Linked DNA regions of Macaca mulatta. The protein of the gene in region 1 purifies or fractionates together with the protein of each later gene. This does not show direct contact. Links are inferred from orthologs where the notes say so. Each region holds a gene or a part of one and is shown in the gene's direction. Other genes may lie near its edges.

What was found. The genes of interacting proteins can lie anywhere in the genome.
Region 2: the proteins of SERTAD4 (region 1) and PPP2R2C purify together in Homo sapiens (affinity purification with mass spectrometry; 3 studies listed by BioGRID and IntAct, counting the BioPlex papers as one, with this or other methods). This does not show direct contact. The link is inferred for Macaca mulatta from reciprocal best matches to the Homo sapiens genes SERTAD4 and PPP2R2C.

Annotation. Positions count from the first base shown.
Region 1 is NC_133406.1:67,977,002-67,983,005, forward strand, and holds part of SERTAD4 (SERTA domain-containing protein 4), read left to right. Parts: intron 1-1,216; coding exon 1,217-1,332; intron 1,333-3,307; coding exon 3,308-4,087; 3' UTR 4,088-6,004.
Region 2 is NC_133410.1:6,710,919-6,716,907, forward strand, and holds the end of PPP2R2C (protein phosphatase 2 regulatory subunit Bgamma), read left to right. Parts: intron 1-1,784; coding exon 1,785-2,076; 3' UTR 2,077-4,327; downstream 4,328-5,989. UniProt on the Homo sapiens protein: The B regulatory subunit might modulate substrate selectivity and catalytic activity, and might also direct the localization of the catalytic enzyme to a particular subcellular compartment.

The DNA of each region.
Region 1 (6,004 bases):
CTGCTGTGCACCTCTCCTAAGTGAGTCCAGAGCTCCAGAGAGAGGACCAAAGGTGATATTTAAATTGCATTCAAACCTGTGTCTACCCATGCTGCTGCTTGAATTATATTCTGTATTTTTAAGAGGGCCAAACCAGATATTGAAACTCTGAGTTTGGGTTTTGGTTTTCTGCCCTGTGGAACTATATGGTTCTCTCACAACTATGAAAGCTCTGGTGGGCTCAACAATGACACCTTTATCCCATGAGATATAAAGGAATCGGCACTTTGCGCCAGCAGCTATGTGTCTCTTTTCTTTATTAACCCATTTAGGCTCAGTGTTCCATTATTGGAACGCTAAGCTTGTGGAAGTTATTTCTATCCTGCTGTTCAAGGTCATCACCAAGGTCTGACTTCACACACAAAAAATGTGCAACCTCTGGCATAAATGGGTTAAGCACACAACTGGCTTTGGGATTGTAGGAAAAAATTTAAAGCCAAGAAAATAAAAATATGTTCTTCCTGATTCTTTCTGCTTATGGTTTAAGTTCCTTCGGATTTTTGTGCAGTATTAGCTATTTTTTAAAATAAACTAAAATATAAAACAAGTACTCAATGAAGTCTGTTTTGCTAAAAAAGATTAAAAACTGTGGTCTTCATGGTTGGCATACTACATTTTGAAGAGTGAAAAGGACATTAGTTACCCAAAATTTTAATTCAAATTTTAAAAATTTGAATTTTGCATTTTGAAAAAAAGGAATGTTATAATTCCAATATGCAGATAACCATTTGTTCACTAACCTAAAGCCAATAATATTTTAAAGTTGTTTGGTTATCAGTGGTTACAGTTAAAGATGTATGCATTTGAACAGTGGTGCTATGTTGTCATAGGTTTAATTAAACAATTTAAATAAATACTAATATATTTTAGAGAAATTACACTCCTCCACTTTCTGAATATTGCAGTTTCCTTTTGCATAGATTTAAGATTCTGCATATTTATTAAATGCTAAAGTATGTGATTTTCCTCTATAATTGCCTAGAAATCTTTTCCTAGCCTGGGTCACAGGATTCCATATGATAGCAACTATTAAGACAAATGTTTATTTTTAATCACCACATGTTCAGACAAATATGCAGCCAAGTTATCATCTAGAAGGACAGGAAATGAAAGTATTTTGTTTGGAGAACCTCTGGCAAACCGCATGTCATTTGTCATATCTGATTTATTACCACAGGATCACATTACAGGGGAACTTCAAATCCTCTAACAACATCCAAGATCGCATACTTTAAGAGGAAGTATGTGGAAGAAGAGGATTTTCACCCACCACTCAGCAGCTGTAGCCATAAAGTATGTTTTTTTTTAATAGTCATTATTTTTATTAAGAGTTTAAGATACTTAGTAACAGTTGCTTGATCCACTTCCAGGAATTAAATTGTTTCACCCAAGCAATGAAAATGAGCCACTTCTCAGTGGAGCCTCATTAATCGTTGTCACTTTTTTGGGTCCTGTGTTATTTTTCACAAGTACTTGAAGAAAAAGCTGGCAAGAGCTGTTCTACCCAGAAATGTCAAAATTATGTAATCCAAGGAATTTTTTTAACATATGATTTAATATTTCTCAGACTGCGTTTCGGGTTATGGTTCTTCCGCACTTTTGTGTGGAATGCTTGTTCTTTCCCGTGGTGTTCTCCCCAGTCTAAGTTCTGGCTCCTGCAGCCAATGTTACTTCTGTGTGTGTCCACGTGGGGGTGGTTACGCAGAGCTTTTCCTGACCTTTTGTGGGTAGACTCACCATCCTTGAATGTGTGTATGCAAGTAGAAATATGCACTTCCCTGGACATTGGTTACATATAAGTTGTTGAAAAATATACTTCATTTCCAAGAAAAGACCAAAGCTAACTTTTTTGTAGGTATAGTTAAAAAAAAAAAAAAAAAAAACAAGGTGGGGAAATTGCATAGAATTATGAAACTGGGCACCTAAACTTTTGAAATATCAGTTTGTTTTTCTTTAGAGTTACCTTCCTTCAATAACTATCTGCTGATTTAATTGAGGCAGGTATAACTGCAGACCATAGTTGTCTGAAATGCAGAGAGGATTTTCAATTCGTCTTCCTCTCTGTCTTCTCTTGTCTTCCCCCTCTGCCACCTCATCCTTTAGAGGTTACTTTTACCTTGCTCATGAAAGGACAGCAGAATGCATTGGTAGGTACTGGGCTTTTCCCTGCATGTGTAGTCCCTGCCTTTGGTCAGTATGGGCTGGTTTAGTTCACAGCTCCTCAGGTTATGCTGCCAGTTTGCTTTTTTGATGACCTGGAATAGCTGGTCCCCCGGACACAAGCAGTTTATTTCCTTTTTAGTTTCTGTGTTGTGGTTGTAGCAGTTTCCCAGTTGCTACTGGATTTGCACCAACCATCACATAGTGATAGTGTCACACAGCTCAGGAGTGAGCCCTCTCAGTTCCTCTCGGCATCTCATCTCCCACTCAGCTCCGCAAGGAAGCCTACTTTGGTCCTTCAACTGACAGATTCTGTCAGGGCCTGAGCCTCATTCATTATTGTGTCCTCTTATCAAGCAAGGATAATTGCAAGTATGAAACCCAAAGGATTAAAAGAGGGACAGTATTAAAAGCCAAATCTCATGCTCCTTGATGGCTAGACCAGGGTTTGAAGTATATTCATTGTGACTTGCATTTTGACATCATTTTAAAAACACGTATTGATGTATAATATATGAGTTATGTGTCTGTGTGTATGTGTATTTGTGTAGACACACATAAAAAAGTACAAGTATCACAGTACAGCTTGATGAATTTCATGAGGTGAACATATCCATGTAACTAACATCCGGGTCAAGAACCAAAACATAACCAGCAACCAGAATCCTCCTTGACCTGCTTTTAACACTACCCTTTGCCCCACTCACCCCAACTCTGAAAGTACCTCCTCTCCTGACTTCTAATAGCTTAGATTAGTTTTGTGTTTCAGCATCTTCCTTACTGGGCCATAATAGATCAAACCACCTGAACTGTCCCTCCTGAGGTCTGCACTGTGGCTTGATTCCCTAGTGCTTGGCCATACCAGTGGATCAGGAAGTGGGTGGGCACTCCAGCCAAGTGACAAAAGGGAACATCGGCAGAATGGGGGACAGCCTCTCTAAATGAACCTTGGGGAACAAGACCACAACATGCCCAGACCCAGACAGTGCCAAGAAAGAAGTATGCTATGATGGTGTTTTCTTATAGTCCATTTTCTAAGCTTTCTCTCTTCCTTTTTTGTTTTTTTTGTTTTGTTTTGTTTGGTTTTGGTTTTGGTTTTGGTTTGTAGACCATCTCAATTTTTGAGGAACGAGCCCACATCCTTTATATGTCCTTAGAAAAGCTAAAGTTTATCGATGACCCTGAAGTATACCTCCGAAGATCTGTCCTTATAAACAATTTGATGAAAAGGATCCATGGAGAAATTATCATGCAGAATAACTGGTGCTTCCCTGCCTGCTCTTTCAATGGCACCTCTGCCCAAGAGTGGTTTATGGCTCAAGACTGCCCTTACCGAAAACGACCACGGATGGCCAAAGAGGAATGTGAAAAGTTTCATGCCTGCTGCTTTTACCAAGAATGTGGTGGCCACTACCTAAATGTACCCCTTTCTGTCAATGCTAATGTTGGAAGTGCCTCCACCGCTGCCTCCTCTCCCTCCGTCTCTTCTTCCTCCTCATCCTCCTCTTCCTCTCCCCCTTTGTCTCTACCGAGTTGTTCCCACCAGGTGGATTTCGATGTAGGCAGTGCACCTGTTTACAAGAGTGATGGCCAGATACCTGCCAACGAAATCTTTGTCACTAATGTCAGATCACTTGGTGTTCAGGAAAAGGCCAAATTAAATGAGGAGAAAGCAAATAATGACACCAACAGAGATGGTGGCCCCCTCAGCCATGAACCTGTGGGAAATGACCTTGCTTTTGAGTGCAAAGGCCAATTTTATGATTATTTTGAGACCGGATATAATGAAAGAAACAATGTAAATGAATCTTGGAAAAAGTCCTTACGGAAAAAGGAGGCTTCGCCACCAAGTAACAAACTGTGCTGCAGCAAAGGAAGTAAAATATGAGCCATCTTCTCACCGAACTTTGAAGCATGCACAGCATGATCAGTTAGCTCTCATAAATTTTATTTTGAATGGATTTTGTACAACTGATAAAATTATGCCATGAACATGCCGTGTCGTTTTAATGCCTGGAGAGCAGATTGCATAAAACATCTGTATAGTAGGCATCAGCGAGCTTCTTATAAATGTGGTGATTTTTACCAAGGAAATGATTGACTTAATGCTTAAAAGTATATCATAGTTTTCTGACAGAAAAGACCAGTAGATTAGATTGGGGGACAATGTGCCCTTGCAATATTTCCATTGCCCCCCAAGGAGCCTGTCACTAGCTAAGAAATTTCTACATGTTTGCCGATTAATTAGGGAGTTATTTGGTAAGCAAATCAATATAACCAGCAAAGATACCTGCTTCTTCTATATGATATAATTTTGTTTTTAAATAAAAGACTGAAGACAGGGAGCTAGATGAAATGGCTTAATGGTGCTGTTAAGTATTTGTACCTAACAGTCTTGCGTGACAGATGAAAATAGGATGTAACATAATGAAACACACCTGTCTAGGGGCGGCAATCAACAGTCTTACACAGAGAGGGTATTCCCTGCAAGTTTCTGGCTTGCCTGTGATGGGTGATGAGGCTTTTAGAGAGGTGTTATACAGGGCGATTTTTGGTGCCTTACTTTATCTTAATTTTTGCCAATGTGAAAATTAAGGATAAATCAGAGTTACAGCAGGGATTTAACAAACAGGAAAAAAAAAAAAAAAACAGGGTGGATCAATATGGTGTGGAAACTGTTAACTTTGAACTATTGTGTTCAACTTTTGATTCGACATCTCTATTCTTCCTTTATTTTTGATGCCCAATTGCTTTTGGATTTGGCATTTTTTCAATAGGGATGGAGGAAATGAGAGAGAGCTGTTAGAAAGCAGCACGGGCTGCTCGAGCTTTTCTATGGCAACTGTCTGTTGCTGGGGTTTGGGTTTTCTGGGTTTTGGGTTTTGTTTTGTTTTCTTGTCCAATGAAGTTCACGAACCAGTGGCATGCATTATACTTTTCTCTGTTTTGCATCATTTCACTTGTTTAGATTATAAAAGCATGTGGGTTTTTATATATGAACTTTGCTGTTGATTAAGAAGCACAATGTTATAAATGATGTGGTGATCATTAAGGTTTATCTTAAAGAATGTAAAGACTTTAGTTTTTTGAAAGTTATTTTGGAGAAATGGGACTTAATTTATAATAGTTACTATGTATTTGGTCTACATTTTCCAAATAATATCTTTAATTTGTACGTTTGAAAAGTGTTCAGAGTGGCCCTCCTACCATCCTTCCTTCCACTCCAGCCAACTCTTCCTGCCATTCCAGTTTCCAGGTTTACTAATTGACTTGGACCTGTTTAAACAATACTTCACAGAAACCAAATGCCAAATGGAGGAAATAAGTAAACCCTCCCAGTTTCTCCAAGATAAAGCTTTTTTATTATTGCTATTAATATTAAATATAGGTCTCATTCATACAGTGTATGAGTAGGATCATTTGGACAATTGTCCACAAGGACCAATTTTTAAAACATTTTCTTGCGTTATAGCTAAATACTCTAGTAATGTTTTGTCCTTTATTTTCAATATTTGATAAACATTTGATGTTCAAAACTTAGCTAATAGATGCTTGTATATGAATGTGTTGTAATAAAGTGAGGTTTTCTTGATATATATTTATTAAAATGATAAAAATTCATTAAGATTTTTAAAAATTTTAATGGCTATTGGCTATGTTTCTCTTTTCCATTATTCTCTCTCCTTTAAAAAACTCAAAACATCTAGAAACTGTAATGGATAGTGGCCACACAGGAGTTTTCTAAATTAAAGAGTATTTTAAAATGCCAATCTGACAGGTGTTTTAGAATGATCCTAGTTTGTAA
Region 2 (5,989 bases), on another chromosome or scaffold:
TTCCCTTGTCCCAGGCTCTGAGTCACATATAAAGCAGGTGTGGCTTCGGTCACATGGACGATTAGGATCGAGAAGTACCTGGTAAATAACAAGAGGCAAAGTGCCCCAAGCCCAGCACTGTGCGGGGTGTTCAGCCTGCGTCCCCTGATTCGCACTTACCAGGGGCTGCGTTCCCTTGTTGACCCTAATATTTATAGAAAACTAAGATAGGGTGCATGTCAGGGTAGGGCAGAGCTAGGACCCAGACCCAGGGGGACTGGCCAGACCCCAAGCCCCTGACCACAGTGCCTGAGCTCACGTGTGAGCTTTTGTCCTCTGTGCATAACCCGTGGAGACCCAGGGATCCCCCTGGTTCTGTCTCAGAGCAGTGTTAACCTCAGGAAGCCCAACTCGGCTTCCAAAAGGAAATAGGATTTCCTCCCTGAAGAGCCTTCAGCAGGACAACTTCTTTATCTCGTGGCTGCTTTTTGGAATGCCCTCTTCCTCCCCACTTACCTTGCACCCCACAGCTGCTCCAGGGCCCTGCAGAGGCCAAACCCCAAAACCCTTCCTCTGGGCACAGGCCCACAGAGCTGTGCTTTCTCTGCTGCCTCTTACTATGTCGATGAACTTATCCTTCCTCCCACCAGCAGGATCCCCTCCTTAGGAGCAGGGAGAGCAAGGAAATGGTGTGGAATTCTCTTTAGCAGGATGGCGAGGGCGGTGAGCCTCTGCACATCAGCACTGCTCGCCCCGTCCCTCATGGCGATGCATATTCCTTTATTCACCCGACTCCTCGGGACAGGCGGGCCCCTGGAGGGAAGCAGGGCCTGGTGGTTCTCTGTCCCAGCTGCTTCCGTGGCTACCTCCTGCTGTGGTCACACAGTCCCTTTGGAAGGCCAGGGCTTTCTCTCCTGGACTAACAGAAATTACAGGAGGGCATTGTCTTTTCTTTTCTTTCCTTCTTTCTTCTTCTTTTTTTTTTTTTTCTGAGACGGAGTTTTGCTCTTATTGCCCAGGCTGGAGTACAGTGGTGCGATCTCGGCTCACTACAACCTCGCCTCCTGGATTCAAGCAACTCTCCTGCCTCAGCCTCCCGAGTAGCTGGGATTACAGGTGCCCACTACCATGCCCAGTTAATTTTTGTATTTCTAGTAGAGACGGGGTTTCATCATGTTGGCCAGGCTGGTCTCAAACTCCTCACCTCAGGTGATCCACCCGCCTCGGACTCCCAAAGTGCTGGGATTATAGGTGTGAGTCCCCGCGCCCGGCCAGCAGGGTATTTTCATGATGATTGGGGCAGAGCATAAAAATGATCTTAGCTCCTGGCCTGAGTCTACGTGTTGGTGGCAGCTGACATGTGAGGGGATGTAAGAGACCCCAAGAGACAGGGGAATAGAGGCAGGTGTGGGTTCCCTTTCCAGGGAGTGATGGCTCTGTAGGCTCTGGGCTTGCTTTCTTTTTTGTCTGTTTGTTGTTTTGAGACAGAGTTTTACTCTGTCACCCAGGCTAGACTGCAGCGGTACAATCACAGCTCACTGCAGCCTCTGCCTCCCCAGGCTCAGGTGATCCTCCTGCCTCAGCCTCCCGAATAGCTGGGACTATGGTCATTTAAAATTTTTTTTTGTAGAGGTGGAGTCTCGCTATGTTGTCCAGGCTGGTCCTGAACTCCTAGGCTGACGCGATCCTCCCACCGGGGCCTTCCAAAGTCCTGGGGGTATAGGCATGAGTCCCCACACCTGGGCTTATTTCTTGAGAAGAGGCTCGTGCTCCTCCTCGCCTGACGCCTCTCCTTCTCCCACCAGCGTCATCATGACCGGGGCCTACAACAACTTCTTCCGCATGTTCGATCGGAATACCAAGCGGGACGTGACCCTGGAGGCCTCAAGGGAAAGCAGCAAGCCCCGGGCTGTGCTCAAGCCGCGGCGTGTGTGCGTGGGGGGCAAGCGCCGGCGTGATGACATCAGTGTGGACAGCTTGGACTTCACCAAGAAGATCCTGCACACGGCCTGGCACCCGGCTGAGAACATCATCGCCATCGCTGCCACCAACAACCTGTACATCTTCCAGGACAAGGTGAACTCTGACATGCACTAGGTATGTGCAGATCCCGGCCCCCACCACCCAGCCTTGCGCAAGTCATCCCCGACATGATCTTCACGACCGCAACGCAAGGAGGGGAAGGAAGTCACAGCGCCAACGAGGACAGCCGCAGAGGTGGCAGTGTGTGGACACAGGGAGCCTGGGCCCCCATCCCTGCCCCAGCTTCCCTAGGCCAGAATTGTGTTTGGCAGTAATTGTCTGTTTAAAAAAATAAAAAGGAAAGGAAGCGTTCACCGCCACAAATCATAAAATGGACATGACTGTGGAGTCTTACAGTTCAGGGTTCTTTCATTCACGTCCCTTCACCGTCTCGGTCTGCGGTCTTTACCACATCGATAGGACTTTTTATGCGTCCGGGTTAATTTTTCACTCCAGTGCGTCCTGCTGCAGGGGCCGGAGCTGATGGGAGCTGCTTCCCCCCCATGCCTCACCGGTCCCAGATCAGGGCTCCAGGGACAGATGATGAATCTCAAACGAGCCAGCCAGGGGGTCTTTTGGTTATAAATGGAGCAGTTGGCCCTGTCTGAGAGCTGATGATCTCACCTTTGTATTTCGGAGGGTGAATTCATGCTGAGAATTTGCAGATGCAAGCTTCTTTCCTAGGTTTTCTGAACGTCTTGAAACATCCCAGGTCCCAGATCTGGTGCAGTTTCCCGAGAGGAGCGGGGTGGGGTTTGTCTTCTGCGTGCCTGTGTCCCCTCATCTGATTCACCTGCCGTTTGCTGAGCCTCTCCTGTGTGCTGGGCATGGTGCTCAGCCCTAGAGGCTGTTGACTTACCCCCTGCAGCCCTCCCTGCAGCCGCTTTCCCCTCGCCCTTCAGCATTCACTGGGCACCTTCCTGGAGCGGACACTGGCTCCCATTCACGATTTTTTGGAATCTTCCTCCTGACTGCGAGGTGGGTGTTCATTCATTTCCATCATAAGCACCAACTTCTTGAAGCGTGCCAGGCTCTGGGCTGGATGCTGGGGATAAGAGGAAGCCTTAGGATCCCCTCTGTCCACGAGAAGAAACTGAGGCTCTGAGCAGATGCACAGGTCACCCATGGCAGGCGCCCGCCAAGCAGTGGTGTCAGGAGCCCGTCCGGGTCTTCACACAAGGTTCTCTCCAGTCCATCTCGTGGGTGGCTCATGTTTAAGTGACACTCGAATGGAAGGTTTGGAAAGGAATGCCTCTCTGTCTTGGAAAATAGGACATGGCAGACTTGGCTACGACAAGGGTCCAGGAGAACTGAAACGCAGGATGGAAGATGGAGAAGACCCCCGGAGCTCCTTGCTCTGCTTGGTGGCTTCAGGAGTACAGCCCTCCCCGGGACTCCACTTCACCCTGGGCTTGCACCCTCCTTGAGCCAATGCACTGAACTGCCTCTGAAAGGAAATTGCATGTTCTGACCATTTTAGGATACCTTTACTTTAAGGACCACACAGTCCCAGAGGACGTGTCCCTTGGGAACTCTGCCCCTCTGACAATGAGGGCGACAGAGAAGGTGGTGTTTCCATGGTAGATGCTCCTGTTCTGATGATACCACACCTGCCCACCCCTCTGAGTCGTCTTTGCTCATGGACTCACAGCAGAACCACGTAGTTTGGCATTTTGATTCAGAAAGCGAGGAGCAGAGACCCAGCCAAATCCAACCATTTTGTTTTGTTTTGTTTTTTACAAGATGTAACATAACCCAGGAAATAGACCCAGCTGAGGTTATTCTCAGTGGATTACAGTATACTTTTGTGTGTGTAAAAGCACAAAGTGCATGTGTACTCACTTCTGGCCATATAACATTTACACAGGGAAATGGATCACTGATTTTTTTTTTTTAATCAACGTGAATGAAGAATGTTTGTTTATATATCACTATAAAATCCAGTTGACCTGGACAGTATTATATGTACATATCTATTCTAATTAAATTTAACAATCAAAGGATTGGATTACTTTTTCCCCCTTGTAAAGAGGTTTGAGAATGTGGTTAATTGTATAGATAGCGTGTTGAAGCCAAAACCCAGCTCTGAGGGCCTTACCAATTACTTGGATATTTGCTACGATCCATCTCCCTTTGTGAGTCAAATGTTAAGAGAGGAAACTTGTATTTGCAGCTAGAGGTTACTGTCACATCATAGATTTAACATTTACCATCTTCAAAGTACGAATCTTACATGTTCTTCAAAAGGAAGTCTTAATACGGTTCCTAGTTCCTTACTTCTGTTTTAAACTTTGGGTACCAAACCAAAAAGGAGAAAAAAGAAAGGAAAAGATCTTCTTTGAGAAAAAGTATGTCTTTGGATCCCTGGAAAATAATGATGTCCAAAGCGAATTGTGAAGATAAAATGTGTGTTAAGAAAAGGTGTCAGTGGGAGGGACAAAACCAGAAATGGCGGAAGGACCAGCATAATAGTCACAGACTTGCATCCCTGCTCTGCTTACATTTTCTGGTCTTCTCGAATGTACGGGCGTTCACATGGTCGTTGTGAAGTTGTTGGGTTTTTTAAATTTAGCTCTTCTCTGAGGACGAAGCTCTTGGTGATGGGGGTGGTGGTGGGGGTGGTGGAGGTGGTGGTGGTGGAGGTAGGGGTGGTGGTGGTGGTGGTGGTGGTGGTGGTGGTGGTGGTGTGGGATACATGGTGATCAAGTTGTCAGCCCTGATCAGTTTGGACTCTGTAACTCATAGGTGCATTCTTTTTCTCTTTGGTGTCTCACAAATTACCCAATTGTTGAATAAAACTATAAATATGTTAATACCAGCTTTTTCCAATAAAATAACAAATGTTACATCAAAAACGAGGCCCAGGATGCTGTTTGTTTTTAATGAGTCCAACCTCATGGAGGTGGAGCCCATCGGGAGGCAGTACAGCAAGTGGGGATGCCCATGGGCTTTGCACTGGGAAGCTGGGTTCACATCAAGGGTTTGCTGCCTCTAGCTCCTAATTCAGCTCTTAACTTTCCCTAGCTCTGAATTCATCACTGAGGAAATGGAGCTACAAGGACTCCCTATTTTGTAGGTTTGTGGTGGGAGAGAAAGGGCAAGATTAACTTGGATAGTGCAAAACACAGTGCTTGGCACACAACACTCCGTAATGATAGTTGTCTTGTTTTGTCTTGCATCAGGTGTGCACGGCCCATCATGATCTCCACACACACACTCTCCATGAGAATATGATACAGATGAGGAAACTGATTCAGAGAGGTTGAAGAATTAGCTCACAATCACACAGGTAGCACATAACTCCTCATTCAGTTCTCCCCCACAGACGTGCCTGAGGGTCCCAGAGAATGGAAGCCTCGGGGGAGAGAAACGACAGGGTACCTGGATTCTTCAGGAAGCCAGAGAGGCTCTGCCCCACCTGCCACAATTGCTGAGCTAAACAGGAGCGTGTGCGGGTAAGTTTCCCTGCACCCTGCCAGGAGCCAGGCCCTGCCTCTGGCTTTTTTTTTTTTTTTTTTTTTGAGACGGAGTCTCTCTGTGTCGCCCAGGCTGGAGTGCAGTGGCCGGATCTCAGCTCACTGCAAGCTCTGCCTCCCGGGTTTTTACACCATTCTCCTGCCTCAGCCTCCCGAGTAGCCGGGACTACAGGCGCCCGCCACCTCGCCCGGCTAGTTTTTTGTATTTTTTAGTAGAGACGGGGGTTTCACCGTGTTAGCCAGGATGGTCTCGAACTCCTGACCTCGTGATCCGCCCGTCTCGGCCTCCCAAAGTGCTGGGATTACAGGCTTGAGCCACCGCGCCCGGCGCCTCTGGCTTTCAAGAGGGAGTTTTGGGCTTCAGGTTCAGCAGGAGGAAGGCAGGTGCTGTTCTGCGGGTCTGCTTTATTGGGGCTTTATTGGCGCTCAGTTCCACAGCTGCAACCTTTAGCTACAGTGCCAAGTGGAATCTAGTTTTCAAAACTCTGATAATGAATATCTGCATAGTGATA